Cricetulus griseus: one gene and its partners. The protein of the gene in region 1 purifies or fractionates together with the protein of each later gene. This does not show direct contact. Links are inferred from orthologs where the notes say so. Each region holds a gene or a part of one and is shown in the gene's direction. Other genes may lie near its edges.

Evidence for each region.
Region 2: the proteins of Ruvbl1 (region 1) and Dkc1 purify together in Homo sapiens (affinity purification with mass spectrometry; 4 studies listed by BioGRID and IntAct, counting the BioPlex papers as one, with this or other methods). This does not show direct contact. The link is inferred for Cricetulus griseus from reciprocal best matches to the Homo sapiens genes RUVBL1 and DKC1.
Region 3: the proteins of Ruvbl1 (region 1) and Znhit6 purify together in Homo sapiens (co-immunoprecipitation; 3 studies listed by BioGRID and IntAct, counting the BioPlex papers as one, with this or other methods). This does not show direct contact. The link is inferred for Cricetulus griseus from reciprocal best matches to the Homo sapiens genes RUVBL1 and ZNHIT6.
Region 4: the proteins of Ruvbl1 (region 1) and Tuba1a purify together in Homo sapiens (affinity purification with western blotting; 3 studies listed by BioGRID and IntAct, with this or other methods). This does not show direct contact. The link is inferred for Cricetulus griseus from reciprocal best matches to the Homo sapiens genes RUVBL1 and TUBA1A.
Region 5: the proteins of Ruvbl1 (region 1) and Epc2 purify together in Homo sapiens (co-immunoprecipitation; 3 studies listed by BioGRID and IntAct, counting the BioPlex papers as one, with this or other methods). This does not show direct contact. The link is inferred for Cricetulus griseus from reciprocal best matches to the Homo sapiens genes RUVBL1 and EPC2.
Region 6: the proteins of Ruvbl1 (region 1) and Shq1 purify together in Homo sapiens (affinity purification with mass spectrometry; 3 studies listed by BioGRID and IntAct, counting the BioPlex papers as one, with this or other methods). This does not show direct contact. The link is inferred for Cricetulus griseus from reciprocal best matches to the Homo sapiens genes RUVBL1 and SHQ1.
Region 7: the proteins of Ruvbl1 (region 1) and Mrgbp purify together in Homo sapiens (co-immunoprecipitation; 6 studies listed by BioGRID and IntAct, counting the BioPlex papers as one, with this or other methods). This does not show direct contact. The link is inferred for Cricetulus griseus from reciprocal best matches to the Homo sapiens genes RUVBL1 and MRGBP.

The regions. Positions count from the first base shown.
Region 1 is NC_048601.1:54,795,895-54,799,526, reverse strand, and holds the end of Ruvbl1 (ruvB-like 1), read left to right. Parts: intron 1-1,549; exon of another isoform or gene 1,550-1,586; coding exon 1,587-1,678; exon of another isoform or gene 1,679-2,026; intron 2,027-2,303; exon of another isoform or gene 2,304-2,416; coding exon 2,417-2,576; 3' UTR 2,577-2,768; downstream 2,769-3,632. UniProt on the Homo sapiens protein: Possesses single-stranded DNA-stimulated ATPase and ATP-dependent DNA helicase (3' to 5') activity; hexamerization is thought to be critical for ATP hydrolysis and adjacent subunits in the ring-like structure contribute to the ATPase activity.
Region 2 is NC_048604.1:738,672-741,404, reverse strand, and holds the end of Dkc1 (H/ACA ribonucleoprotein complex subunit DKC1), read left to right. Parts: intron 1-515; coding exon 516-653; intron 654-1,057; coding exon 1,058-1,123; 3' UTR 1,124-1,875; downstream 1,876-2,733.
Region 3 is NW_023276806.1:13,622,431-13,626,905, reverse strand, and holds the start of Znhit6 (box C/D snoRNA protein 1), read left to right. Parts: upstream 1-1,524; 5' UTR 1,525-1,624; coding exon 1,625-2,082; intron 2,083-3,030; coding exon 3,031-3,096; intron 3,097-3,178; coding exon 3,179-3,285; intron 3,286-3,370; coding exon 3,371-3,456; intron 3,457-4,475. UniProt on the Homo sapiens protein: Required for box C/D snoRNAs accumulation involved in snoRNA processing, snoRNA transport to the nucleolus and ribosome biogenesis.
Region 4 is NC_048595.1:395,417,515-395,422,266, reverse strand, and holds the start of Tuba1a (tubulin alpha-1A chain), read left to right. Parts: upstream 1-1,547; 5' UTR 1,548-1,644; coding exon 1,645-1,647; intron 1,648-2,932; exon of another isoform or gene 2,933-3,227; coding exon 3,228-3,450; exon of another isoform or gene 3,451-3,587; coding exon 3,588-3,736; exon of another isoform or gene 3,737-3,793; intron 3,794-3,992; coding exon 3,993-4,752. UniProt on the Homo sapiens protein: Tubulin is the major constituent of microtubules, a cylinder consisting of laterally associated linear protofilaments composed of alpha- and beta-tubulin heterodimers.
Region 5 is NC_048599.1:124,754,836-124,757,930, reverse strand, and holds part of Epc2 (enhancer of polycomb homolog 2), read left to right. Parts: intron 1-858; coding exon 859-1,018; intron 1,019-1,838; coding exon 1,839-2,172; intron 2,173-3,095. UniProt on the Homo sapiens protein: May play a role in transcription or DNA repair.
Region 6 is NC_048601.1:43,316,633-43,320,651, forward strand, and holds part of Shq1 (protein SHQ1 homolog), read left to right. Parts: intron 1-2,479; coding exon 2,480-2,634; intron 2,635-4,019. UniProt on the Homo sapiens protein: Required for the quantitative accumulation of H/ACA ribonucleoproteins (RNPs), including telomerase, probably through the stabilization of DKC1, from the time of its synthesis until its association with NOP10, NHP2, and NAF1 at the nascent H/ACA RNA.
Region 7 is NC_048599.1:1,356,888-1,361,476, reverse strand, and holds the start of Mrgbp (MRG/MORF4L-binding protein), read left to right. Parts: upstream 1-1,613; 5' UTR 1,614-1,692; coding exon 1,693-1,840; intron 1,841-2,289; coding exon 2,290-2,411; intron 2,412-3,336; coding exon 3,337-3,418; intron 3,419-3,727; coding exon 3,728-3,802; intron 3,803-4,159; coding exon 4,160-4,347; 3' UTR 4,348-4,589.

The DNA.
Region 1 (3,632 bases):
CATGTACAAAATGCCACTAGTACTGACACCTCATAAACACCCCTGCAGGTTATTAAATGATTAAAGATCTCATTCATGAGCTGCCTGTTTCCAAGCAGCTGAGGTAGAAGCTCCCATGATTGCTCTGGTCTGTTCTAGAGACAGTGAGAGCAGATATCACTGGCATTGTGGAAGGAAGCCAAGCCACAGATCCAGCTGAGGGGAGGGCCAGCCTAGCATCACCAGCCCAGCATCACTGAGCATCCTCAGCCCTCCCCTCGGCCAGCCTCTGGTCTTCAGTGTTTATATCTCTCGGGAGTTGGCAGTGCTGGGGATATGACCTAGGTCCCTATACATGCTGAGAACATGCCCTGCCTCTGATGTACCTAATCCCCAGTCCCTCTTGAAGTTCCAGAAGACTCCTGAGCAGCCATTTGTGCTATTGGCCCACAGTCTCCCTTGTCCAGCTGTTGGTCAGGAGTTCTTGAGTCATGTAGCTGGCTGATGGAGTAGAGCAGGGGACATCCTTTCTAGCTTGCTTTCCACAGCCCTTGAACCTTGGGCCCCTCTGCTGTTGGACCTAATAGCCTGTGTAGATGATCATATCCTGACCCCTGAGGAGCACCGCACATATGTTTGAGGCCTCTGTAGTGTTTGGGACATGTGTGAACCAGTCAAGAGTTCCCCCAATTCTTCTCTTACAACCTTGTCTGGATAAAGGTGGCATAGGCAGTGGGGGTCTGCGAAGTGGCCACCTCTTAGGAATGCATGCCAGCCTGCTGCTCTGAGCTCCTTACAGGCTGCTTACAGTGACAGGCAGCTGATGACTGCTGACCCCGGCAGAGCCCTGAGTTGTCACACTCAGCCATCTCAAGCCTCCACTCTTCTTTTCTCTCTCCAGAGCCTGGAACTAGGACTCAGTGTCTTCCAGTTCCTGTGCCTCTGCTCTGGCTGTTTTTACGGCTTTAATTTAAACAACGGCTTCTTGATATCTTGTTTACGAAGCTGCCAGAGTGAAAAATTCCTGTATTATATGAGGCTCGAAGTCCTCGAGTTATCTCGGCCCCACAACACACAACATCATTATCCTGCTGGCCCTTATCACTCAGTGCTGCAGTGCCCGTGGGACCCTGTGCCACCGCTGCAGCATCTCACCGCCTGCCGGCCACCCCTCCAGCCTCACCAGGATACACAGTGCAACAAGCATTAGGCGCTTGATAGATTAGATATCTCAGCGATGTTAGGAGGGCTGGTAAATCTCTAAAAGTAACTTTTTTGATTTATTTAACCATAGTATTTATCAAACAAATAAAAAAATGTTCTCTTGCTTGAGTGCTGCTAGGTGATAGTGCTCAAGCTGCCAGGAGATGTTGGAGCCTTGAGGGCAAAGCTAGGAGTGGACCTAGCTCTCTGTAACAGGGAAAAGGAAGAGGAAGCTGTGAGCTACACTGGACATGGGGGTACCCCTGGCTATGATGTCATCCAGGTGGACTGTGGCTGGGGCGTGTGATTCCCAGAGATGCAGACTAGCAGTGCTGGTGGCCATCAGCTGGTCAGACACTGAACACAGTTGAGACACTTAACGATTGTTTTTTTTTTCTCCAAAGATCATTAAGATCCGAGCCCAGACGGAAGGCATCAACATCAGCGAGGAGGCGCTTAACCACCTGGGGGAGATTGGCACCAAGACCACACTGAGGTGTGTACACCAGGTAGCAGCCTGCTGGAGCCCTTATGCTGTGCCAAGGGCCTTTTCCAGGCATTAAGTTTAGAGTGCTAAGAATCTAGAAATGAGTTAGAACCCAGTCTTCAGCAAGCCCCTAGTAGAGTTCACCATTCTCTTCCAGTTTCCCAGTAGAGCAGGGCCTGTCCCCATCACCCTTACCCTGGGTGTATTCCAGGTATCTGGTGGCAGCAGCCTAGTGGATTAGTGCTGTGTTCTCCAGGCTGTTCTGCCAGGGTTCAAAGGCAGTGACTGGAGAAGATAGACGATAGGTCTTCAGACCCTGAGCCCTCCTTGTGTCCCTTGAGTATGTTGCTCTTGTTCCTGAAGTAAAGGAAGAAACTGTCACATGTTTAGTGAATGTTCATTGGGCCTGCATGAGCTTTCAGTTGCCTGTGTTCATTTCTTTGCATGTGAAAATTCCCCGTCTAAGTTGATACTGTCTGCCCTGCCAGGGTGTGTGTGTATCAAAATGTTAGTCTGTCAGCAGAGATGAAGTCACCCCCTTTGCAGATGTGAGAAGAGCCTTGTGTCCCCTGTCCCCTGGTGTCCCCGGTCTCAGTTGTGATGGGCAGTGGCAGTTCTCCTTTGCCGTCCTCACCTTGGGCTCCTTGCAGTTAGATGGCTGCAGCCATGCCAGCAGTGTCCATGCTCGCCTTCTGACTTTGGGCTCCCTGCAGTGGCCCCATGCTCACGCTGTGCTGTCTGCTGTAGGTATTCTGTGCAGCTGCTGACCCCAGCCAACCTGCTGGCAAAGATCAACGGGAAGGACAGCATTGAGAAGGAGCATGTGGAAGAGATCAGCGAACTCTTCTATGATGCCAAGTCCTCTGCCAAGATTCTGGCTGACCAGCAGGACAAGTACATGAAGTAACATTGGGCTGGGAGGTGCACCCAGAGGACAGACCCCACACCGTGGACAGGGCCTTGAGTCAAGCGTGCTTTGCAGTGTTGCTGACTCTGGGAACATTCTTTCTAAATTATCAAACCTCCATGTCTGCTTGGAAGGAACCCCTTCCCACCTGGCTTGTTTTCTAATAAAACTGAATAGGTTATTTTGATGATACCTCTCTTTTTAGGTTTTTATGTTTGTACTCCATGCTCGCGGAGTGTGTGTGTGTGTGTGTGTGTGTGTGTGTGTGTGTGTGTGTGTGTGTGTACACGCACACAAACTTGCAGGTGCCTGGGACTGGCAAAAGAAGGCATCAGAGCCCCTGGAGCTAGAGTTACTATGGGGGGTTCTAAGTTCTATTTGCAGCACAAAACAAGGTTATTTATGCATAACACATACACAGAAATTGCAGGACCAGTTTAGACTTATAGTTACTGTGGCATCAGTGCAGTTCCATTCTGCAGTAGGGCAGGACATTTGTCAGTGAGCGTTGAGAGCTGTGTCGGGATGTTACATCTCATCTTCCTTTCAGGCTCTAGGCTATGAGATTCCCAGACATCTCTGTTCTGATGACCGTTGGGCATTGAGAGCCACACAAGTCTACAGCCCATCTTGGCAGGTACTTTCAGTAGGACACTTATACTGTGAGCCCTAAGCACCTGGCCAAGGCTGCCATGTCTGGGACCTTGTTTATGTCCCCTGTTCTATGCTGGGCTCTTGAGTGAAGTGGCTCTCTGCTGACCACACATAAGGGTTAGAACAGCTGTGCCTCTTCTAGGGCTGCGTGTTAGCCATGGTTTGGGAGTCTGCATGAGGACAGTCTCACCGCTTACCTGTTTAGTAAACCATCAGTGTGGACTCATAGGTGCTTAGTTTGTACATTGGGTACCTTGTCTTGAGATAGTCTTGCTATGTAAACAAGGCTGGTTTTGAGTTTGAGGCAATCCTCCTGCCTCTGCTTCCTAAGTGCTGGAATTATAAGTGTCACCTTTTTCAGTATGACATCATTTTGTACTCATGAGGACATGGTGTTTATGC
Region 2 (2,733 bases), on another chromosome or scaffold:
GGATCTTGGGTCAAATAGGTATAGCATTAAGTGTACCGAAATCAGAGGCCTATAGGAAACTCAGCAGGGAACAGAATTGTCAGATACAAGCAACTATCTTCAGCCAATACTATGTCACTGTTTAAGAGTGAAGTGAAGCATATGGTGGTAACCTAACTTCCAAAGGTTTTGGACCATTGTCATTAGAGCCCCAAATGGTATGTTTGCAGTTAGAAACCTGGGTGACTAGAATTAAGCTATGTGGAATTTGTGATTTGTGCCTGTTTGAGCACCTAAGGGAGCATTTGGAGTTGGTTCACTGAGACAGTTTCTCAAGGTCTTCTATACTCCAAACTGCTTTGGCACACCCATCATGGTCCATGGCTTACAATACTATTTAGTGAGATACTGTCTTTTGAAATCTTTAATAAATCAGGCAGTATTTAAGTTTATAGACAAAAAATTTACTGTTGGGTTTACTTGGAATCTTAGTAACTTTCCACATTTCTTACTGGATGAATAATTTTTTGTCTCAGAGGAAGCGAGAGAGTGAAAGTGAATGTGATGAGACCCCTCCAGTAGTCCCCCAATTGATGAAGAAGGAAAAGAAGAAGAATAAGAAGGATAAGAAGCCTAAAACTGTGCTAGAAAGTGGGGGCGAGGCTGGAGATGGGGTATGTATAAACCATGGGTGCCTTTGTGCTGGCTGAGTTTTGACAGTTAATTGTAGTGCAAGAGTGGGGTTCTACCATTGCCTCCTTTGGTGCTGCCTTGTGTTCTGGATTTGCCATGTCCATTCCCCTTGGACAGACAAGTAGGGGCACCCAGCATTTTAGAGCAATGGATCATGGTTTGAATTATGTCGCTGGTGGGTGGGGAAGCTGTGTAACTTGATTGCTCAAAGCCCTTGTGAAAGTAGACTTCTAGGACTTCACTGAGGTCACAGGCAAAATTTGTTTAATCTCAAATGCCCTTGCAGATCCTGAACAGACTTGACTGCAATTTACCAGATTTCTTTTGGGAACAGTCAGAAATATTTTGGCAAAGGGTACTTTGAACTTACTTTCTCTTTCTTTAGGACAGTGACACCACCAAAAAGAAAAAGAAGAAGAAAGTAAAAGTGGTAGAAGAAATGTCTGAATAGTAAAAGCCACTTGAAGAATTATGTCCAGCTGGGAGGAGAAATGAAAGCCTTATTGAGAAAACATTTTGTTGAGGGAGTAGAACAGAGGTCCCAAACAGAGTACAGAGTTCTGGTACACTTTAGCTGCCACTTGTGACCTCAGTGATTAAGGTGTGGCCATCTCATCCTGTCCTGTCCTGTTTTAAGGATATGAGAGATGAAAAGCAGGTTTTTGCCTCTGACCCCTCTGCTTGCTTGAGTGGGGAAGCACACTTTCAGACATGGCACTGCCTAATTAACTGTCTGCAGCTGTTTACTAATGGCCATTTTAATGCCATAGATAGTCCTCTCCTAGTTTGCTTTTTTTAAGGTTTGTGAAAATTAAATCTGCTAAATAAAATGGTATAGAACCTTCTGTGATTAAAAGAAGAATGTAATTGAACATGTTCAGTGGGGAAATCTTATCTCCAGTATCCTGTGAGGGCTGTTCTATTCTGGTATTAGATATGGGTCTTGATGGCCTGGTGTTTGGGCTAGCTAGCACTCTCTATGTTGGCTACTTGTGTTTTTAGGAGAAGCCAAAGCATTCTTATACCCTCCTGTTTTAATGCTTTTTTTTTTGAAGAATGGATTTGTTCATTGCTGGGAAAAGAATGTAATTTATAGCTTTGAAAAGTATTTGTTGGGTTTATTAATTGATAATCATAGGCTGGCAGAACAAAAAATGAAATATTTTTATTAAAAAGCTGGGGATCTTTTTGTCCTGTTTGAAATTCGCTTCTCCTTTTTTGGCTACTTTTAAGTTTCTTAATTCTGTGTCTTACATTGGCATTGGGGCCTATCACCTGCTCTCAAGGGGGGTCATTACAAATCCAGTGTTCTGCAGAACAGAGGGGAAAAGTACGTGTGTTGTGTAGTGTGCCAGCAGGTCAGATGGCCTTGAGAGTGTCAGGGTTAGGGTCGGAAATTGCCAGTTCTGGTGTTGATTGCAGGGAGAAAAGGGTGGCATAGGATGTTACAAATGATTACTCAAATGTGTGCAAGCAGAAATTTTGAGTATTTTGTGGTACAGCAATGGTCTCAGCCTAGGCAGGTATGAAGTGCCCCATCCCACCCCTAGCCCTCAGCTCCTGTTTTTGTAAGATGTGTTATCATTCTAGTGTGACTTAATAGGACACATTAAAGTGCCCACAGTGGCTTCTACCTAGAGAAGACTGTAAACACCAGCCCTTAGAGACCTATAGGGGCAGTGACAGGTTTTTCAGGTACATTGCTGTAAAGAAACTCACCTGCATGTTAAATCCAGAGACGCCATTGTGTTGATGCCATTGCCTGGGAGGTTTAAGAAGATAGCTCATAGCTTTTTAGGGGATTGTGGTGCAGATGGAAATGCAGTTACAAGGCCACAGACATGTTAGCACAGCATAATTTTTATTGCTTTGGAGGGTTTCTCTAGAGCAGTTGTACTTTGCACAGCTATTTGATTTTGGCATTTTATAAAGTTTCAGAGTATACTTATTCCAGAGTAAAGAGACAAGATAGTATAGTTGAAAGTAAAGGAGTTCAAGCATCAGAGGGATGAGGATAGTTGATTTTTCTGTGCAGCAGTTGCATTTGGATAGTACTGCTAA
Region 3 (4,475 bases), on another chromosome or scaffold:
TCAGCCTAGCTGTCTGACAGTAGATTAATAAAGAAAACATGGTATATACATACAGTATTATTCTGCCAATAATTAGAACAAAATTATGTTATTTGTAGGGTTATGGATGAAACTTGTGTGAATAACCCCAGTGTACTCACTAAGTTGGACTTCCCTGGAATCCTTACTTTGGTCTGTAGTTGGTCCCTCCCTGGGGCGAGTAGACATTTGCTCCCGTCTTCCCCAGAAATAGTGTCACACAACAGCATGTCCCAGTTCTTTACGGTCATTGGCCAGTGTGTCAATGATAGCACATGATAGCACAAGCTGGGTGACTTAAACAAAGATTGTTTTCATTTTCTCGAAATTCAAGAAGTTACTGAAGTCCAAGGCCAAGGGTTCAGAGGTTTCTCTTTTAGGCTACCTGGATTGGCAAACAGAAGGCTTATTTCTCGCCACACTCCAGGACTCCTTCTCTGTGAGCAAATTTGTATGCAAATTTCTTATTAAATGCGCCAGTCAGCTTGGATTCGGGCGCATTCTAATGACTTCATTTAAACCAGTGTGCTTTTAGGGGCCTTGTCTCCAAAATAAGGTCAGAATTGTGAGGTCCTGGGAGTTAAGGGCTTGAGCGCATGGATTTGAGGGGCTATTACTAGCCTGTGACCGGCGATTTCAGCTGCTGGCAGTAGTATGTGATCCCACGCATGGTTTCATGAAATCCTCGCGGGAGCAGATACGAGCATCTCTCTCCCCTCTCTCTCTCCTTTCCTTCCCTTCCCCCCACTTCCCGCGTGTTGTTTTTGAAACAGGGCCTCACTATGCAGCCCTGACTGTGCCAGCATTTACTCTGTAGACCGGGCTGGCCTTTAAGACACAGCGATCCCCCTGCCTCTGCCTCCCGCGTGCCGGGATTAAAGGCGGTTTCCCTTTTGTTTGTTTGGTTGGTTGGTGGTCGGTTCTTAAGACAGGGTTTCTCTGTGTAGTTTTGGAGCCAATCCTGGCACTCGCTCTGGAGACCAGGCTGGCCTCGAGCTCACAGCGATCCCCCTGCCTCTGCCTCCCGCGTGCCGGGATGGAAGGCGTGGCGGCCACCGCCCGAGCATAAAAGCGTCGTCTGGCGGCTGGCGTCTCCGTGACGAGAGCCAGGCCGCGGCCTGAGGCTGGCGGGCCCTCCGGCTGCAGACCCCGCTCTGCAGAAGCATCAGCGTGCAATTCCGCCTTGGGTGCAGCCACGGGCTCGCAGCGCAGCGGCGTCGCTGTGCGCCGGGGCCGGGCTCCCCCGCACCGGGACTGCACTGAAGGGTGGCGGGTGCGGAGGGAGGGCCGCGAACCGCTGCTGTCGCCCGGCTCCCTGGTCGGAGTCAGCCCTCAGCACACGGGAGAGCGGGTGCCCTCGTTGCAGACCGTCACTCGGAAGCCCGGGCGTGCTCGCTACGCAAAGCGGCTGAGCCGTAAAGAGCTCCGCGAGTCGTGAAGAGCCGCGGCCGGGGAGGGCTGCTTTACGGCGTGCGTGCGTGCGTGCGTGCGTGCGTGCGGGCGGGCGGGCGGAGCTCGGGGTCGCGCACGTGTGGCGCCGCCGGGGACCCCTGTGGCCGGCGGCGGGCGAGCGCCACGGTGAAGCGCGGCCTCGGCGTGCGAGCCGATGGAGCCTGCCGCGGGGGCGGAGGCGGCGAGCGCGGAGGAGGCGAAGGTGGACCTGGCGGTGGTGAAGCAGGAGGCGGGGGCCGAGGGCGGCCCGGCGCGCTGCCCCTGGGCGGTGAAGCCGGAGGCGGCGGGCGAGCCCCGCGTGAAGCTTGAGGAGGCGGGCGAGCCGCTGGTGAAGGAAGAGGCGGCGGGCGAGCCCGACGTGAAGGAGGAGAAGGTGAAGGTGAAGGAGGAGGTTCCGGACTGGGAAGAAGTGAAGGAGGAGGAGGAGGAGGGCGTGGACGTCAAACGGGAGCTGTTGGGGGGTCAGGACGTGAAGGAGGAGCAGCTGGTGGAGGCGGTGCGCGTCAAAGAAGAGGGCTCCCTCAAGACGGAAGGCTCGGATGGCCCGCGGGTGAAGGGGGAGCCTCGCATGAGCCCCCGAGGGGGCTGCAAGAGGAAGCTGGCCATGTCAAGGTAGGGCAGGGCCGGGCGCACACCCACCTGGAACCCAGAGCGTTGAGTGGACCCCGCCACCCAGCAGCAGGCGGTGAAGAGCACCAGTTAAACCAGGCACCAAGGGGGAGCCCCAAGTCTGAATGGTGGTGTTCGCTAGCACATTCTGGGACACTGCAGTGGCGGTGACCGACACGGTGTGGTCAGCTCAGGGGGCGTAAATCTGGGGACTGGAGACGTTTGTGGAACCAGAGCTTGTTAGCTGTGAAGCGATTGTGCAGGACTTGTGCCTATTGGAGAAACTAGGAATCAGGGGACATCTAATAAAAACCAACAATGAGAAAGTGAGTGGAGTTTAATAGACAGCCAGTCAGCTTGCTCTTGAACCTTTTCACGGCCCCCACGAATGTTTATTCCTGGATGTAGTTTCTTTAGTGTGCTCATGTGGTCCCACAGATCAAACTGTGAAGATTCTACCCCTGACAGCTTGGGCTGTCTGTTAAGAACAGACGAGTAACGCCATTTCTGGGTTTTCTCGGTGTCCTTTTGCAAAGGGAGGGCATACATTACGATGAAGTTTACCTGGGCCTCATCCTGTCTTGTTTTGCTTGTGTGTATGCTTTTAAAAATGTCCAGATGCAGCTTCTAGATACACACACAAAAATATCTCTGAATTGCAAATTTCAAAAATCACCGGTTCATGTTAATTTCTAATTACAGTAGAAAAGAAATCAAACAGACTATTTTTCATATATATTTTCTCGAATTGCCTTTCATTGTGTCATTTGCAAACATTTTCACAGTTTTCAATGACAGCTATAAAAGAATTGATCAGAGTCGCTGACATATGCTTTATTTGCTTTGACTACGTGCCTGTAAACTGTAAATAGGCTTGATTCAGCATTCAAAGGCTGTAAGTTCATGAGTAGAGTCAATTTTTGAGTATTAAGTCACAGGTGAATTTTACAGGTGTGAAACTTGTGGGACAGAAGAGGCAAAGTACAGATGTCCACGCTGCATGAGATATTCCTGCAGGTAGATATGTAACTTTCTACCTTATTCCTGACCTCTTCCCACTTACTTCAGATATAAAACTGCCTTCTGTTTGTCTCTGCAGTTTGCCCTGCGTAAAGAAGCACAAAGCAGAACTGACTTGTAATGGAGTCCGAGATAAAACCGCTTACATCTCACTACAGCAGTTTACGGAGATGAATCTCCTAAGTGGTAAGTCATTCTATGCACAACAGGTGACTGCTTTCTGGCCACTGGCATATGTCACTTGTTAATTTTTCCTTTCTGAAATTACTAGACTATCGGTTTTTGGAAGACGTGGCAAGAACTGCAGACCAGGTTTCAAGAGATACTTTCTTGAAAAGACCAAAGCGCAAAAAATACGTAAGGATTTCTTCTGATCTTTTCAAGTTAAAATTGCTTCCAATGTTTATTCATTTCTTGGATCTATCAAGTGGCCACCCTGACCTGGGACTGTACTGATTATTCAAGATAGATCCAAAGTTTACCCTGCGGAGTTTGTATTGTTAGTTAAGTGGAAGAGGCCGGATGTAGAAACAGCAAATATAATTTCTTACAGATTCAAGTGCATGTAGAAAATTGGGATGGGTCAAAAGAGTAAAGAAAACAAAGTAGTCTGTGAGGTCGTAAACTTCGGGGTATGATTGTCAACACAGTGGTAGAGATGAGCATCTCTGAGGACCAGTTAGACGTTGATCTTAATGGTGTGAAAGAGAGTAGGAGTCATTTGGAGGAAAACTCTTCTGGGTAGAGACCTGGACAGAAGTGGCACAAGCCTGTGACCCAGCACTTGGAGGAAGACATAGCAAGACTTTGACTCAAAAAGATGCAGGCTGAGAACTGGTGTGTATGTTTGGAGATTACAAGAGGCAGGATAACTGAAGCATAGTGAATGGGTAGGGATGCTAAATGGAGTTTAGGAAAAGTTGTAGAGTTCCCAAGCATGCTAAGTAAAGGGACCAAGGGAGACTGTGTGGTGCTGCCTTTAATACCCTCAGAAAGTCAAGAGGCAGGAGAGACTCTTGAGACAGGCCATGCAGGGCCCGGTATATGAGCCTTTTTTGTTTGTTTCCAGAGAGGATTTCTCTGTGTAGCTTTTGGAGTCTGTCCTAGAATGCTCTGGAGACCAGGCTGGCCTCAAACTCAGAGAGATCCACCTGCCTCTGCCTCCCAGTGCTGGGATTAAAGGCGTGCGCCACCACCGCCTGGCTAAAATAATTTTTTTTTAAAGGATGACTTGCTGCTTGGTTGGGGTCAGGGAACCACAGTGGAAGACTGAAGCATGAAGAACAGTTTCAGGAGTGTGTGTCAACGTGTGAGAGGTGGTGGTGGCTTGGGTATGCTGTTAGAAATAACTGGAAAGTAGTGTGATTCCAGTTTTG
Region 4 (4,752 bases), on another chromosome or scaffold:
TCCATAGAGTCCACTGGAAATAGTCTGCCGAAAACCAAGACTCTGCTATGAAAACTAAAAGGGAAATCATCTGTCAAAATCCAAATTTTCAGCTTGGTGCCCAAACAAATATCTCTTAACCTCTGAAATTTCTTCCAGCAAATATTCAGTGGTCTGCAGCTCAGAGACATGCTTTATATAGACCATCCTGGCCGATAATGGAGGCTTTCTAAATAGAAAGAATGCCACTGTAATCCATTTCCTAGGGGTGAAAGCAAGGCATTTTTGTCCCAATGGCCAATTGAGCAACAACCACAGACTCTAGCTGAATAGCAGTGGTGTGAGGAGCTACTGTTCCCACAGTTAGAAGCCCAACTGCAGAAGGGGCTATTTACAGAATTTAGGGAACTACGTAAAATGAACTGCAGACGGGCTGACATTGCACAGTTGTCTGGGATGAAAGCAACATTACAAAATGGTTTCCTTTTATATTATATAACTCTTCTCTGTTTTTAAAAATTTGGTATCTCAGTCATGTTTTACTTGATATCACCCCTCCCCAAAGAAGAGCAATGCAGAAATATAAGCCCACGCAAAGAAAGAGCTAGTTTTAAAACTCAATTCTTTCTCCTTATAGTTTCGGAACCCTGTATTGGAAAGGATAGCTCATTTCTACAGATAAAATAGCACAGGCTCGGGGGAGGGGAGTGGGTGTGGAGGGGTGGTAGGGAGTGCTGTCCGTAAACAAAGCTAGCTCTATGGTGAACTATAAATTCTGTTTTGTATATTATTTCTCTTTAGTTCGTTCTCTTTTGCTTTTTTGTGACATGATCACACACTATAATCCACGCTGGCCTCAAACCAGCTGTAATCCTCCAGCCTCAGCTCCTCCAAGGTTGGGATTTACGTGCCAGTTAGGGTGACCTTGAACTGCAGATCTTCCTGCCTCTGAACCCCAGCTGCAGTTTAGATTACGATGCTGGCCTATTCTTAGTGGGCTTCTGAATCTTGTTCAAACAACAGTAACAATAACTGTAAACATCGGCATTTACCCAAGCCGTTTGGACCATCATTTCTATCTCTGCTGGTTTTTTAAAAGCAATTAAAGACTTTGGATCCTGAGGGAATATGGTCAAATTTAGTGTACTGTGTATGAAATGCTGGAATTTTCTATTAAAAAAAAAAAACCATAAAGTCTGTGATTAAGTGTAGGGGAAAACCTTGGATTATTTTAACTATAGTTTAAGGTTTAAGTCATGTATAATCACCCAGCCCCGATTTTCTTTCTTCCCTTCCCTCCCCTCCCCTCCCCTCCCCAGCCCCACCCCATAATGGATGCTCCGCTAGTTGCATTTGCTCAGCCTTTGTCTGAGGATGCAAAGTCTACGGATGCTAGGGGGAAGGGGTGGGGGAGAGATTACCTCATACCATGTCGCTTGCACCAATCACCACTCTCCTGTCGCGGCTTCTCTGGGCAGACGGAGGGGTCTGGACCAACAGGAAAAGGCCGTGGCCCATCCCCATGGTGACCGAGCTGTATATAAGGAGCCGCATCCGCCCATGTGCCGCAGGTTCTCTTACATCGACCGCCTAAGAGTCGCGCTGTAAGAAGCAACACCTCCTCCTCGCCTCCGCCAACCTCCGGGCAGCCGCAAAGCAGCAACCATGGTGAGCCAGCCTTCTTCCCTGGTCCTCCGTAACTGGGTGGAATCAGTCTCCCGAGATCTTCAAGGGAAAGCCTAAGTCTTTGTCACCCCTGCGGGGAAGGGTGGTCTCAATGCTTTGTTAAGTTGAGCTTTGCGCGGAGTCCGTAAATCCCGCAGCCGCAGTGCGGGGCAGGGAAACGCCCAGACCCGGGGAAGAACAAAGGCTCCTGCGAGTGTTTGCTCGCACAGCCTGGGCCGTCAGGGCGGGGGTTCACGGCTAGAGGGGTGCGCTGCGGCGGGCGAGCAGGGCGGCGGCCGAGCCCTCACTCCAGAAACGCCGCCCCACTTCTATGGGAAAATGGTTAGTTTGCGTCGGATCCATGGCAGCCGGTGTCAGGGAGGCGCAGGGGCGGGGTTGTTTGTCTCTTGCTTCCGTGGCGTTTTGGGAGGGGTTCGCCCTCTCTAAACTTCCCTCGGGAGTGGTTTTTGTATTTTTATTTTTAAAAAATTGCTGTGGAACTGTAATCTTACAAGAGGTTTTGTTTGCTTGAGTGTCAAAAGTACGATTTACTTAACACCAGGACATCTCGCTGGGGAGAGAGGGGCTGGATAGTTGGTGAGGTTGCCTCGACTACCCTGATTGTCAGAACCCAGGGAAACGCCCTTCCCCACCCCCCACCCCCGCAGACAATGAAAGTTGTAGCTTTAAAGACAATAGAAAACTATCTCTATAGAATAAATAATACTAATATATTATGTGGTATGTAAAGATTCATCGAATAAAATACCATTTTCTAGTTTTAAATGTTATCTTTTTACTCGGTTTTTATTGTTGGCCCTTGTTTCTAACTTAGCTTTAAGAATATTTTGCTTCTATATAGTGGAAAAGATTCTGGAAAATCTTCATTATCTAATGAAACTGCTGCAAGGAAAAAAATTATACTCCGTATCCAACTGTCTTTTGTTCTAATACATCTTCACTAATTCATTATTTCAGGCAAATGGCCCAGACAGGGTTAAGAGGGTTAGGAAACTGAAAGCAGCGAGGGGATCGTATAGACAGCTGCTGGAAATAGAGCTTTCTCTGTTAAATAATGTAACAAAGGGCACAGGCTAGCACCAGGCACAGCAGACACAGCAATGCAGAAGTCACACTTTGTCTAGTGCTGATGAGTTCTGCAGAAGGGTGTGGCTCCTGCCCGCAGCCGCAGTACTGATGTCCATGTTGAAATACCAGATCACAAAAGATGAAGCATTCATCTTTACTTATCAGGAAAAGAAGCAATTAAAATAATTCCAGACAATTATTTCACTTTACAGTATCAGTGTATTAAGTATTTTTCGAACATGAAAACTCTTCTATTTAAGTATGGCTGTGAGAACAATGGGTTTGCACCAAGTCTTAGTATTAAGGTGACATTATTCAGACCACACCCCTTTGCAGTATTTGTATCAGGTACTCATTATTGTTTCTGTCATATGAGGGATATGACTCCAAATAAATTTCAACAATATTTGTGTTATTAGAAACACTTTAGAAATCTATTAAAATCTAAAATAGAAATACAGCTTAATTTCATAATTTTTCCCCCTTTTCCACAGCGTGAGTGCATCTCCATCCACGTTGGCCAGGCTGGTGTCCAGATCGGCAATGCCTGCTGGGAGCTCTACTGCCTGGAACATGGCATCCAGCCTGACGGCCAGATGCCAAGTGACAAGACCATCGGGGGAGGAGATGACTCCTTCAACACCTTCTTCAGTGAGACAGGCGCTGGCAAGCATGTGCCCCGGGCCGTGTTCGTAGACCTGGAACCCACAGTCATCGGTAAGTGGGCCAGGGGTTTCCCTGAGGCATTCTGTCCTGGTCACATACTCAGAACCTCTCCACACACCGCCGAAGAGTGAGTGAGCTTGTGTGTGTCAGTTACTGTTGTGAATGGTTGATTTCATCTCCTTTTCCAGATGAAGTTCGCACTGGTACCTACCGCCAGCTCTTCCACCCTGAGCAGCTCATCACAGGCAAGGAAGATGCTGCCAATAACTATGCCCGTGGCCACTACACCATCGGCAAGGAGATCATTGATCTTGTCTTGGACAGAATTCGCAAGCTGGTAAATACCATAGATGGATGGGTTCATTTAAAATGCAGTGTGGGGGAGTGTTGGGACCTGCCAAAATAAGTAAAGTCTGTTCACTACATTAATTAAGTAGACTTGTACATGTGGTCTATGGGTCATGAGATCATTTTTAATACCAATTCACAATTTTTTCCTTTCAAGTAAATGTGGTTTGCCATCTTGAGGAATTGCAAGCAGTGCTGAGAGTATGCCCTGTTGATAAACAATGCCTGTTCTTTTTTTCCTACAGGCTGACCAGTGCACAGGTCTTCAGGGCTTCTTGGTTTTCCACAGCTTTGGTGGGGGAACTGGCTCTGGGTTCACCTCCCTGCTGATGGAGCGGCTCTCTGTCGATTATGGAAAGAAGTCCAAGCTGGAGTTCTCCATCTACCCAGCCCCCCAGGTTTCCACTGCTGTGGTTGAGCCCTACAACTCCATCCTTACCACCCACACCACCCTGGAGCACTCTGATTGTGCCTTCATGGTAGACAACGAGGCCATCTATGACATCTGTCGTAGAAACCTCGACATTGAGCGCCCCACCTACACTAACCTAAATAGGTTGATAGGTCAAATTGTGTCTTCCATCACTGCTTCCCTCAGATTTGATGGAGCCCTGAATGTTGACCTGACAGAATTCCAGACCAACCTGGTACCCTACCCTCGCATCCATTTCCCTCTGGCCACATATGCCCCTGTCATCTCTGCTGAGAAAGCCTACCATGAGCAGCTTTCTGTAGCAGAGATCACCAATGCCTGCTTTGAGCCAGCCAATCAGATGGTGAAATGTGACCCTCGCCATGGTAAATACATGGCTTGCTGCCTGCTGTACCGTGGGGATGTGGTTCCCAAAGATGTCAATGCTGCCATTGCCACCATCAAGACCAAGCGTACCATCCAGTTTGTGGACTGGTGTCCCACTGGCTTCAAGGTTGGCATTAATTACCAGCCTCCCACTGTGGTACCTGGTGGAGACCTGGCTAAGGTCCAGAGAGCTGTGTGCATGCTGA
Region 5 (3,095 bases), on another chromosome or scaffold:
AGGGTCAGTCCCTTTACCTTAAAGTCATAAGCCAACATCGTGGAAATCTTAGTGACCCTGGTTGCTATCCCCACACCCTCTGGTAGTCCTAGTAGATCTGGGCTTGACTTAGAGCCTATGGCTATCATTGTTAGTAGCAGGCAGTTTTACACAGAATCATGAAAGAGTAGCCACTGAGTTTGGTTTGCTTTGTTTTTTGTGAGTCTCTTCAGATAACTAACCTGAAGTTTTTGCAGTCTTCTTCAAAGTTGGATTGGTCCAGGTTTTTACATTTTGATAGAAGTGGCTATTAATCATGTCTGTGATTTTATTTTATTTATGGTGTCTGCTCATTAAGCAGTTTTAAAGTGTTCATTATTACCTAGAAAAGTTAATAGAACTTGGATTTTTCAATTTAGTTGTTTTTCTCAGAAATAATTGCTTGCTAGTTTCTAGTGATTTTCATGCTTCATAAACCAAAAAATAAAAACAAAATAAAATAAAAAACCTCACAGCTAAGTACTTTCGACTATTCATGATTAGAAAGGCAATGTCCTTGCGTTCCGAACATTCCTTAATGTGCTCATTAATCCCATCTAACAAAACTGAGGATGTAGGGTGCTGGCAAGATTTCCTAGCTAGTAAAGGCACTTGCTGCCAAGTCTGACAACCTGAATTGGATCCCTGGAACTGCCTTGGTGGAAGAACAGAACCAACTCCTGACAGTTGTCCTCTGACCTCCACACATACTCCATATTCCTGTTTCCCCTGTCACTGGCAGGGGTGGGAGGTGGGGGCAGGGGGGATTAGTAGATAGATACATAGACAGACAGACAGACAAATGTGGAAAACTGAACTGTGCTTCTATCCATTTTATAGGGCTCAAGCACCTCTGACTGTATGTCTAAAACACTTGACTCGGCCAGTGCACACTTTGCTGCATCTGCAGTTGTCAGTGCTCCTGTTCCTAGTCGCAGTGAGGTATCCAAGGAACAGAACACTGGCCACAACAACATGAATGGTGTTGTCCAGCCTTCAGGTACAACTGGGGTTTCACATAATACTTAGTAGTTTGAAGTTGCCACTTACTCAGTTGGGTTTGGTTTTGTTATATGCACAGAGGAAATGTATACAAGTGCTCTTCAGAATGCCTGGACGGATCTGGATGAGGAACTGAGTGTTTCCAGAATTCTCAACACTGTCTTCTGTATGCCTGCCTCCATCCATCCATCCTGATTACATCTTAGACTATCAGTTGCTTCACATGTTAGGAAATATCCATTGAGCTCATTATCAATCACCCCCATTGATTCATCTATGAATTGATTAAAAAGTGAAATACAAAACAGCACAGTCAGTTATAAGGCTTGAGGTTGGGTTTACATACCAATGTGCACATATTCTTAGATATACTTCCCCTGACTTCTCCTTTAGGGATACATTATGGCTGTGAAAGCCTGCCTGCTGCCTACTGCCTGTGCTCCAGGGACAGTGCTTCTCTGTCTCCTCCCAGCTCCCAGCTGAGAACCCTCTAGTTTCATTAGATGTACTCAGGAGCATCCTCCTTCTTTTCTTTCTTCAGCCCGCATTGCTGATCTTTGTATGCCTATAACTGTTTAGGGCAACCCAGCCATCATTCTCATCTGTCCTATTGTGTTTATCTCCAAAGTTGACTCAGAGAGAGATAGCAAAATGCTTGGTGAAGCCTCTTTGTATGACTGTGATATGGAAAGTTAACTGAGAATTTATTGAACTAGAATATGAGTACACTTACTTTCATTAACTAAATTCCTAATTCTTAGGGGGTTTTTTTTATTGTCCCATGACACTAATTGAATGATTTCTCCCCTCTTCTGCAGGACCATCTAAAACAATATATTCCACCAATATGGCTTTATCATCCAGCGCAGGGATTTCAGCTGTACAGCTTGTAAGGACAGTTGGCCACACTACTACAAACCACTTGATCCCAGCATTGTGCACAAGCAGTCCTCAGACGCTTCCCATGAACAATTCCTGCCTGACCAATGCAGTGCACCTCAATAACGTCAGTGTTGTTTCTCCTGTCAATGTGCATATCAATACACGGACTTCAGCACCATCGCCAACAGCCTTAAAACTTGCCACAGTTGCTGCCAGTATGGACAGAGTGCCAAAGGTTACTCCCAGCAGTGCCATCAGCAGCATGGCCAGGTGTGTGGCTTTGCACCAGCTTCTTGGAGGAGAAGGGCCTTTGGCTTTTCACTGCTCAAGCAGTATCTGTTGACAGACTTGATTTTTCAAAAAGCTTGAGGATTTGCTTAACACAAAGAAAGCTCTGTGCCCACCGACACCAGTTAGCGTCCTTAAATGCCAACTGTAGAAAGATGAGAATGTCAAATTGATACTTTAGAAGCTTCAGTCACTCATTTTTTTTTATTTTATCTTTAAATTTTTTAAAGATTTATGTTATTTTATGTGTATAAGTGTTTGGCCTGCATGCATGTGTATGCACTGTGTGCATGCCTGGTACCTGTGGATACCAGTGGAAGGCAGGTTCCCGGGGACTGAGTTACAGAAGGATGCAGGACATTGCCTGTGTGCTAAGAATCAAACCTGGGTCCTCTGCAGGAGCAACAAGTGCTCTTAACTGCTGAGCTGTCTCTCTACCCCTATCACATCATATTTTATAGACTGATAGTCTAGGTTGGAGCTATCAGTTCATATCAGAAACTTAAATTGAAATCATACTCTATGACCCTTCACTTTATAGTTTTAAAATTTTTAAGAACTTTCTAAAACCAAATAATGTTTTGCAGGGCAAATTTTATGTTCCTTTCAGTGACACAAATGCAAGGATAACAGTGAAACAAACAAAAAAAATTTATTTGTATGGGTTCAAAAGTTTTGACCATAAGCCTATAAAAAGGAACTTGGATTAATGATGTTATATATTCCCTAACTTGTCACTAGTATTAGAAATTAGTGGAATTTCTGAGCTGAAGAAAAAGAATCTTCATTCCTGCCTGGAAATGATAAAAATTGGGGTTTTTGTGGGGGTCATATGTAGTTAGTTATAGTTACTTTAAAATGTGACCTGTCCATACTCTAGTAATATATTCTCTAGAGTTCTAATG
Region 6 (4,019 bases), about 11 Mb from region 1:
TCCCTAGTGCTGGCATTAAAGACCTGTGCCACCACTGCCCGGCTGGTTACTATTTTTTTAATGTGTAGTAGTGCTTTGCCTGCAGAGCTCAAAAAAGAACGTCGGATCCCCTGGAATGGGAGTTACAGATGGTTTTGAACCACTGTGTGGGTGCTGGGACTCAAACCCAGGTCCTCTGGAAGGGTAGCTAGTGCTTTTAACCACTGAGCCATTTCTCCAGCCCCAAGTGAAACAACCTTAAAAAGACTTCATGTATGATTCAGGAGTTGGAAAAAACATGAACCAAGGCAGTAAATCCAGAATCTAGGACTATGTGGGATTATAATGAAAACAGTTTCTGTGGCAAAAGGTAACCCAAACAAAGTCAGCAGATTTGGAATTTGATTGGGATTTATATTTAATATATCTATTACTGTGTGTTCGTAATTGTGTGGGTTTACGTATTCCATGGCTCATGTGTAGAGGTCAGAGAACAGCTTCATGGAGTTGGTTTTCTCCTTCTCACTTTATTGAGTCCTTGGGAACAAAATCAGTTGTCTTTGGCCATGATTGGCCATGATTGGCCAAAGACATGATTGGCATGTGTTTTTACCTGCTGAGCTATCTTGCTGACCCAAGGACTTATATTTATAATACACAAAATTTTTAAAACTTTGATAAGCCAAGCTGTTCCATAGGAAAAATTGGAAAGAACACAGTTTGATGGGCAATTCACAGAGCAAACCCAGTTTGCCAACATAACCAGGAACAAATGCCATATGTTTAGCAGAGCGGCACTAACTCAAGTACCCAGTAGTGGGTCACAGTTAAATTTTTTGCTGTAGAACAGCTTATCCCCATGCTGGTGTTCTCATAGTCTCCATATATTAGGGGTCAGGTCTGGCTCTGATAGGTCCTTTGGGCCTTGCAAGACTGTGGTAGCTCAGATATGTCTGTGGCCTATGGGATGAGAGCTATTAATGCAGACCAACACAAAATCAAAAACTACATAAAACATTCTGAGACCTTTGAATGATCTTTTTTGTAACTAGATTGTGTGATCCTTTAACGTGCTGATCATCATGACCCGACAGCATCATTTTACATTGTTAAAAGGTTGGACATACTGGCCAAATATGCCCATCTCTTTTAAAAAGTAGGTTTGGTTGCTACATTCTTTCCTTCAGGCTCATATTATTGTTGGCAGAATTCTCTTCCTTCAAGCTGCAAAACTGGCCCCACTTTCTTGCCAGTTATTAAATGGGGCAATCTTCAGATTGTGGCAGTCCCAGAAGTACCTGCCACATAGCCTTTTCACATGCCATGTCACTCCAGGAATACCCTGGCTCTACTCTGACAATAATGGAATGTAAGCATGGCGATAGCTGTTCTGTCATCTTTGTCACATTCTGTTGTGCAGAATCAAGTAACAAGATCTATTCCTCAAAGGGAGTGATGCCATTCTTTGGGCGTTCATCTTGGAATTCTCCTTATCACAGTCACTTAAACTCATTAAACTGGAAAGACATGGGAAAAGTGCTGCTAAGTTCATTGCCAGGTGGGGTGAGAAGTGTGTATAGGAAGGTATGCTGGCTATGGCTAATATGTCAGCTTGACACAAGCTAGAGTCATTTTGGAAGAGGGAACCTCAGTTGACAAAAAGACTCTACCAGATTGGTTAGTGCATGTGTCAGGTGGCTCCTAATTGTCTTTAATGACTGTTCCTGGGGGTATGATATTTCTAGCCTCCTGCAGTCACATGCACATACCCACATTCTCTCTCTCTCTCTCTCTCTCTCTCTCTCTCTCTCTCTCTCTCTCTCTCTCTCTCTCTCTCTCTGTTCCTGGGGGTATGATATTTCTAGCCTCCTGCAGTCACATGCACATACCTATATCTCTCTCTCTCTCTCTCTCTCTCTCTCTCTCTCTCTCTCTCTCTCTCTCTCTCACTGTTCCTGGGGGTATGATATTTCTAGCCTCCTGCAGTCACATGCACATACCCACATATTCTCTCTCTCTCTGACTGTTCCTGGGGGTATGATATTTCTAGCCTCCTGCAGTCACATGCACATACCCACATTCTCTCTCTCTCTCTCTCTCTCTCTCTCTCTCTCTCTCTCTCTCTCTCTCACAGACACACACACACACAGACACACACACACGTACACAGGTACACACATACACATAATTTAGAATAATAAGAATAAACTTTAGGAAAAAGATTTGTGAAGTCAGAAACTGCTATTGAAATGTAGGAGGGGAACGTCTAGAAGGTTTGGATAGACACATGGCTCTTAATAAAGCTTGAAAATCCTCCTTTAAGAAATTGCCTTATATGTAGAGTTATGGATAAATAACTTTGATTTTGCTTTTATATTCAGAATTCCATTTTGGCAAATCTTCTGCACTGGTGGTTTTATGAACCTGAATAGCACATTTAATTTTCAGGACTGTAAAATAAATAAATAAATAAATAATTCAGAACTGTGTTTTCTTCTAGTGTCTTTTTCAGAAGAGGAAAAATATCAGCTAAGAAAATTTGTGAATAAGTCTTACCTGCTGGACAAGACAGCTCACCGTCAAGTGTACTACAGTTTAGTTGACATCCTTCTGGCCTATTGCTATGAAATACGTGTCACTGAAGGAGAGCACAATGTAAGTCTGTGTGTGTCAGGGCAGACCACTGTGTTAGCTAAAGGGAGCTAGGGCTTAGCTTCCTGTTGAGAGCATTGCCTTTGGTGATAAATTAATTACTTAGGGGCAGTCCCAGAAGAAGTGCCTGTGGAGGTCATAGTAGATGGTAGTGGGCACCGTTATGAAGCATAATGCTAATTGTGATCCTGTCTCTTCTTTCTTAGCAGTAGATCTGCCAGATAGATAGCAGAGCAGAGAAGTGTAAGGAAATCAAGCCAAGGGTAGAAAGGAAGGCAGTGTTACTCAATGGCAAAGGTGCCAACTACCACACTCCAAGCTTTCATTTGTCTCATGCAGAGTAAAGCCTTTTGCAGAAAAGAATCTTAGCATACAGAATGTGTACTTAAAAAGATTTGTATGTAAGTCCCGTTTTTTTTTTTTTTTTTTTTTTCAAAACTTAAATCATACTTCTTTTTGTTATTTAAAAGAAACATCTCAGGCTGAGGCAAGAGGATTGAGAGATCAAAGCCAGCCTAAACTGCAAATGGAGACCCTGCTTTCATCTTTTTTCATCTTCATATTGTATACCAAAGAAGCCATGTGTCATGTCATGTATTTTAAAGACTGTGTTCAATCACCAGTGCTTCAGTCAATCCAGCCAATCATTGAATCAATAAAGAAATAAATGCTGGAAAGCCAAAGTTTTTCTAGATAGTGTGGCCCCATTCATAGTTTTAGCCTTGTCATATGCTTTCCTTTTTCTTTTTGATTATACAGATAATTTATATCATTGGGATTTCCCATAATTCCAGTAGTTAGTAGTAACCACATTTGAAAGATCATTTATGTGGTTTTCTTTTACTGTGCGTGTGCGCGTGCGTGCGTGCGTGCGTGCATGTTTACTTTGGTTTGCAGCCTATACACTATGATTTAATTCACTTACCTCACACAGCATCATAGCATCAATAGTAGTTTGAGATGCCAATTTTTTTAATGTCATGATTCTGAAAATTTCTAAAGTGACTATTGCAGTCTGCATATGATCTAAGTGAAGTCTTAAGGTTATTAAGAATATAATTATCTGAAAATACTTTGTTTTCAGGTCTTTTTAAATTAATATATTTTTGTTTTATGTGCATTGGTATTTTGCCATGGGTGGTTGGTAAAATTACAATTGTGAGCTGCCATGTGGGTGCTAGGAGTTGAACCAGCAGTCAGTGCTCTTAACCACTTAGCTCCTCTCCAGCCCAAGTTATTTTTTTAAAGATGTTCTAAGTGGATAAAATGTTTACTTAACCCCCCCCCCCCAATAAAAAGGAAGGCTCTTCATTTTATATTATTGAATCTTTTAAATTTTTTGAAAGATTTAAAGTTTTGTGGATATGGGGTTTTACCTGAACATGTGT
Region 7 (4,589 bases), on another chromosome or scaffold:
CCACAATGGAAAGCTGAAGCCAGCCACAGACGGCTGACTGGCTCTGAGCCCTGAGCTGTCCCAGACAATGAGGCTGGCCAGAGCCTGCACCCTCCACAGTGCCCTACTCACTGTTGTGAGCATGGTCTGGTTACAGGCCTGAATGAGGGACAGGTACAGGGTCAGAACTGGATTCCAAGGCCACAGCTGAGAGGCAGCAGTCAGGAAAGGGATTCTGAAGCCTGAACATGGAGGGCATAGATGAGGGATGAATGATAGAGACACCTGTACGGGTGGCAACTGGGGTGGTTCAGACCTCAAGGAGAGACCACATTCTTGTGTAGACTGCTCTGCCCAGCACTTGGCCCCACCCAATCCAGTGTGGCGTTGTGGCTGTTATACCAGAGTCATTAGTCCCCAAGAGACTACCAGGAGTCTGAGCTCCTATGCAAAAGCAAAGAGCCTTTATTGCAAGCTCCAGGTTGGGCTCTCCATCCGTTCCAACAGGGTGGTTGGATCAGGAAGAACATTGAGCTTAGCTATGGCGGGTTTTTTAAGGAGTAAAGGATGGGGTGTAAGGGAATTCTGGCTTCAGATCGGGGCTAAACTCCAGATTGGGCAGGAGTGAGGCAACAGAAATCCTGTCAAACAGGGATTGGTGCAGGCATTGCTGCAAGGAAATTGTCAACCTATATACAAGTTAGGTAAGCTATTCTTAGTGTTCTGAAGCATCTAGTATTTGTTTGTCTCAATTTTGATTGGTCCCCTGCAGGGTACAGTCTGTGGTTTTTCCTGGTTATTTTAAGAATGAGGCCTAGTGCCAGTATTGTTAGCCTGCAGCCTGTCATGGCTGCACTGATGTTAAGTTAGGCCTCTTCAGTGGCCAGACCAGAAACTAACACCTGTCTGAATTCATCACCAACCCACTTCTGGTGGAGCTCAACTGTGGGGACAGTACGGAGGTAGAAGTAGATGGCAAGGCCAGCAGGACCCAGATGCCAAGGAAGCACCGAACTCTGGGACTGTCATGAGCAACCAGGCCAGGGCCATTCTGAGATGATAAGAGCCTCAATTCTACAAATTGTGGTTGTCAGGCTTTTATTTTTACTTATTTATGGTGTGTGTGTGTGTGTGTACACACACACATACACAATGGTATGGATATAGAGGGTCGACTTGGTTCTCTCCTGCCCCCTGCAGGATCCAGGGGTGAGGCTGCAGTTATCAGGCTTGTGCACAAGCGTCTCTATTGGATGAGCCATCTCACTAGCCCCTGGCTTTAAAACACAAACAAACAACTTTACTGAGATGTAATTTACACACTGTATGATTTATTACTGGCAGGGGGAGAGCCTGAATCTTTTTAACATATTTAACTTAGGGGCGTGTGTATCATGCCATGTAGACTGACTGACTTGGAACTCTCAGAGATTCTCCTGCCTCTGCCTCCAGAACGCTAGGATTAAAGGAGTGCGGTGTTCTTTTAAAGCTAAGGTTTCTGCCAGCTCCCTCTCTGGCCAGAGCCGGAGGCAGGGAAAGGGCTGACCACCAGGGGGCGTGCCGGCACCGGAAGCCAGCCTTTGTTGCGCCTGCGCGGACGCGGATACGCGGCGATCCGGAGCCCAGCTAGCGCGCGCCCTCCACACCGAGTGCGCCTGCGCGGAGCCTGTAGCAACCCTTCTCTCGCCGGACGCTTGTGGCTCGCCCGCGGCCATGGGGGAGGCCGAGGTGGGCGGCACGGGCGCCCCAGGCGACAAGGGCCCCGGCGAGGCAGCCCCGAGCCCTGCTGAGGAAACGGTAGTGTGGAGCCCTGAGGTGGAGGTGTGCCTCTTCCACGCCATGCTGGGCCACAAGCCTGTCGGTGAGCGTCGCGGCGAGCCGCGCACCCGCATGGGGGTGGGGCGGGTAAACGGGCGGGCGGGCGGGCGAGCGCGGGCGGGCGGAGCCTGCGACCTCACCCGAGACGGGACCTCCCACTTCGGAGTGCCCAGTTAGTCCAAGACCCCATGACGTTCCTGCCCGAGAAGCCCTCTCCCGGGGGACGCCCCTGACTTCCCTGCCCTTGAGACACTCCTACCCCAGGGACCGCCTCCACAGTCCCCGCCTCTGCAGCCCCCCTTGCCCCGGACCCGCCTACTGTATACTTACTTGCCCCTGGGACACCCACTTGCCTCCTGACACCTCTATCCTCTTTGACACCTGACTCCTGCAACACCCCCACCTGCCATTTCATACCCCTGCCCCTCCAACGTCCATGCTGTCTGCACAGAGATGCAGCCCTAACCCCTAACCCACTGTCCTGCCTCTCAGGGGTGAATCGACATTTCCACATGATTTGTATTCGAGACAAGTTCAGCCAGAATATTGGGCGCCAGGTCCCATCCAAGGTCATCTGGGACCATCTGAGCACTATGTATGACATGCAGGCACTGGTGAGTTGGACCGTGGCTCACCGCTTTGGGGCTGAAGGTGGAGACGGGTCCCACCCACATCCTGTCTTCCTAGGATCATCTGTGGTAGTACAAGACAGAGCCCACCGGTCACGTGGGGTTCACTATGCAGAGCAGAGAAGAAGTGATCTCAGTAGATGAGGCCCTTCCTCAGGAAAGCCCAAGTCCTGCTGTGGAAAGCACTAACTAGTGATGGTCTCTGACCACTTTTGCTTTAGATCTGGGGTGGCCACAAGAAGTCTTCCAGGGAGATAGATAGTTGGCTGCTGAGATGCCAGAGAATAGCATCAGCCTCAGTGTAAAGTAGTAAGAGGTCCCGAGCGCTCTAGGTGGAGGCTGACCCCATCTGAGTCCCATTGAGGTGCACTGGATACCCCTGTGGGAGCCAGATGTAGTCCTCTTTGTAGAGCTTAGAGGTAGCGCTGTCTGATGGGTGACTGTGTAACTGGTTTGGAGAGCTGGCAATGTGTGACAGGTATGCAGGGTAACTAGTAACCAAGCTGGGCAGATTTGTCTATAGTGTCTGACAGGCAGTGTAACTTCAGTACCAGGATAGGTGGAGCTGTAGGTGCCTGTGGTCATGGTGCACCTGGGGAACATTGTCCTGGTGGGAATACTGCAGTGGTGAGCCAGGTCAGTTCCTGGTATGCACATCAGCGGGGCTGACATGTTGCCAGTTTCCTCTGGGTGGCACGCGCCTGGTCCTTTTCTCTGGCTTTGTTGGGCTGGTGCTAGCCTGGCCCTCCCTCATTTGAAAAGCCCAGCTGCAGTAGACTCTGCAAGCTAGAGCCAGGAACCCTACCAGCTCAGCCTCCAGCCTGCTCCTCCTGTGCATCTTAGTGAGCTGATACCATTTTCTGTTTCTCAAAAATACAAAAAAAAAACCAAAACTGCTTTGTGCCGGCAGCACGAGTCTGAGATTCTCCCATTCCCAAATCCAGAGAGGAACTTTGTCCTTCCAGATGAGATCATTCAAGAGGTCCGAGAAGGTGAGACTCGGCCACCATCGGGGCTGGGGATTAAAAAAGCCGGACCAGGCCAAAGGTGGGGAGGTCTGGGGCCTCCAGGGAGGTGTAAGGATCCTGCTCAGACCCCACATCCAGTGGCACCCGGGAGGTTTTGGGAACCAAGGGCTGGGGAGAGCGGTGCTCAAAGGCAGTCTCCTGATGGATGCCATCTCGTGATGGACGCCGAGGCCTGTGTGGGCAGCGAGAATCGGAAGCAGTCATGGCCAGACCATCCCCCAACGCTGGCCACCACCGTGGGTTTCCAGTGAACGGCAGCTGTCTCCTCCACAGGAAAAGTGGTCATTGAAGAGGAGATGAAGGAGGAGATGAAGGAGGATGTGGACCCCCACAGTGGGGCTGATGACGGTAAGCGTGGCACGCCTCAGGCGGAATGGGACCAGGAAGCCGTGGAGTCAGAGGGGTGGAGGGTCCACTTAGAGATGAGCTCACCTCAGGCAGGAGGGCCCCTGAAGGCCTGGAAGGGGCCAAGCATTCAGCTGTCCCTTCACTGAGACCAAGGCCAAACCTGGGAGCATCAAGTGTGCTCAGACAGGAGACCCCTAGGGAGATGAGGCGTCTCTTATAGCCCAAGCTTCACAGGACTCCCACCCAGGGTAACATTAGGTGCAGAGAGCCTGATGTATATCTCATTATCTAGCTGAACAGGAAAAAAAAATGAGTTTGTGTATATTTTGTCTTCAGCCAAATGATTTTGTTTCTCAGTTTTTTCATCTTCAGGGAGCTTGGGGAAAGCATTAGAAAAATCCAGCAAAGACAAGGAGAAGAACTCCTCAGACTTGGGGTGCAAAGACGGGGCAGACAAGCGGAAGCGCAGCCGGGTCACTGACAAGGTCCTGACTGCCAACAGCAATCCCTCCAGCCCCAGTGCTGCCAAGAGGCGCCGAACATAGACACCTCAGCCCCAGGTGCCACAGAGATGCGCTAATGCTGCAAGCCCTCACTGCCTGTTCTCAGGTTCCCGGGTGAATGTGACCATCCGGCAGAGATGCTAGTGGGGGCTTCTCCTGTGTCATCAGACCATCCGAGCACCTGACTGGTCCACAAGACCAGCATCCTCTCCGCTTGGATGGTGAAGCCTCTGACCAACCTCTTGCTTTCTCCTGGTTGGTTCCCGCTGTGCCCACAGTGTGTG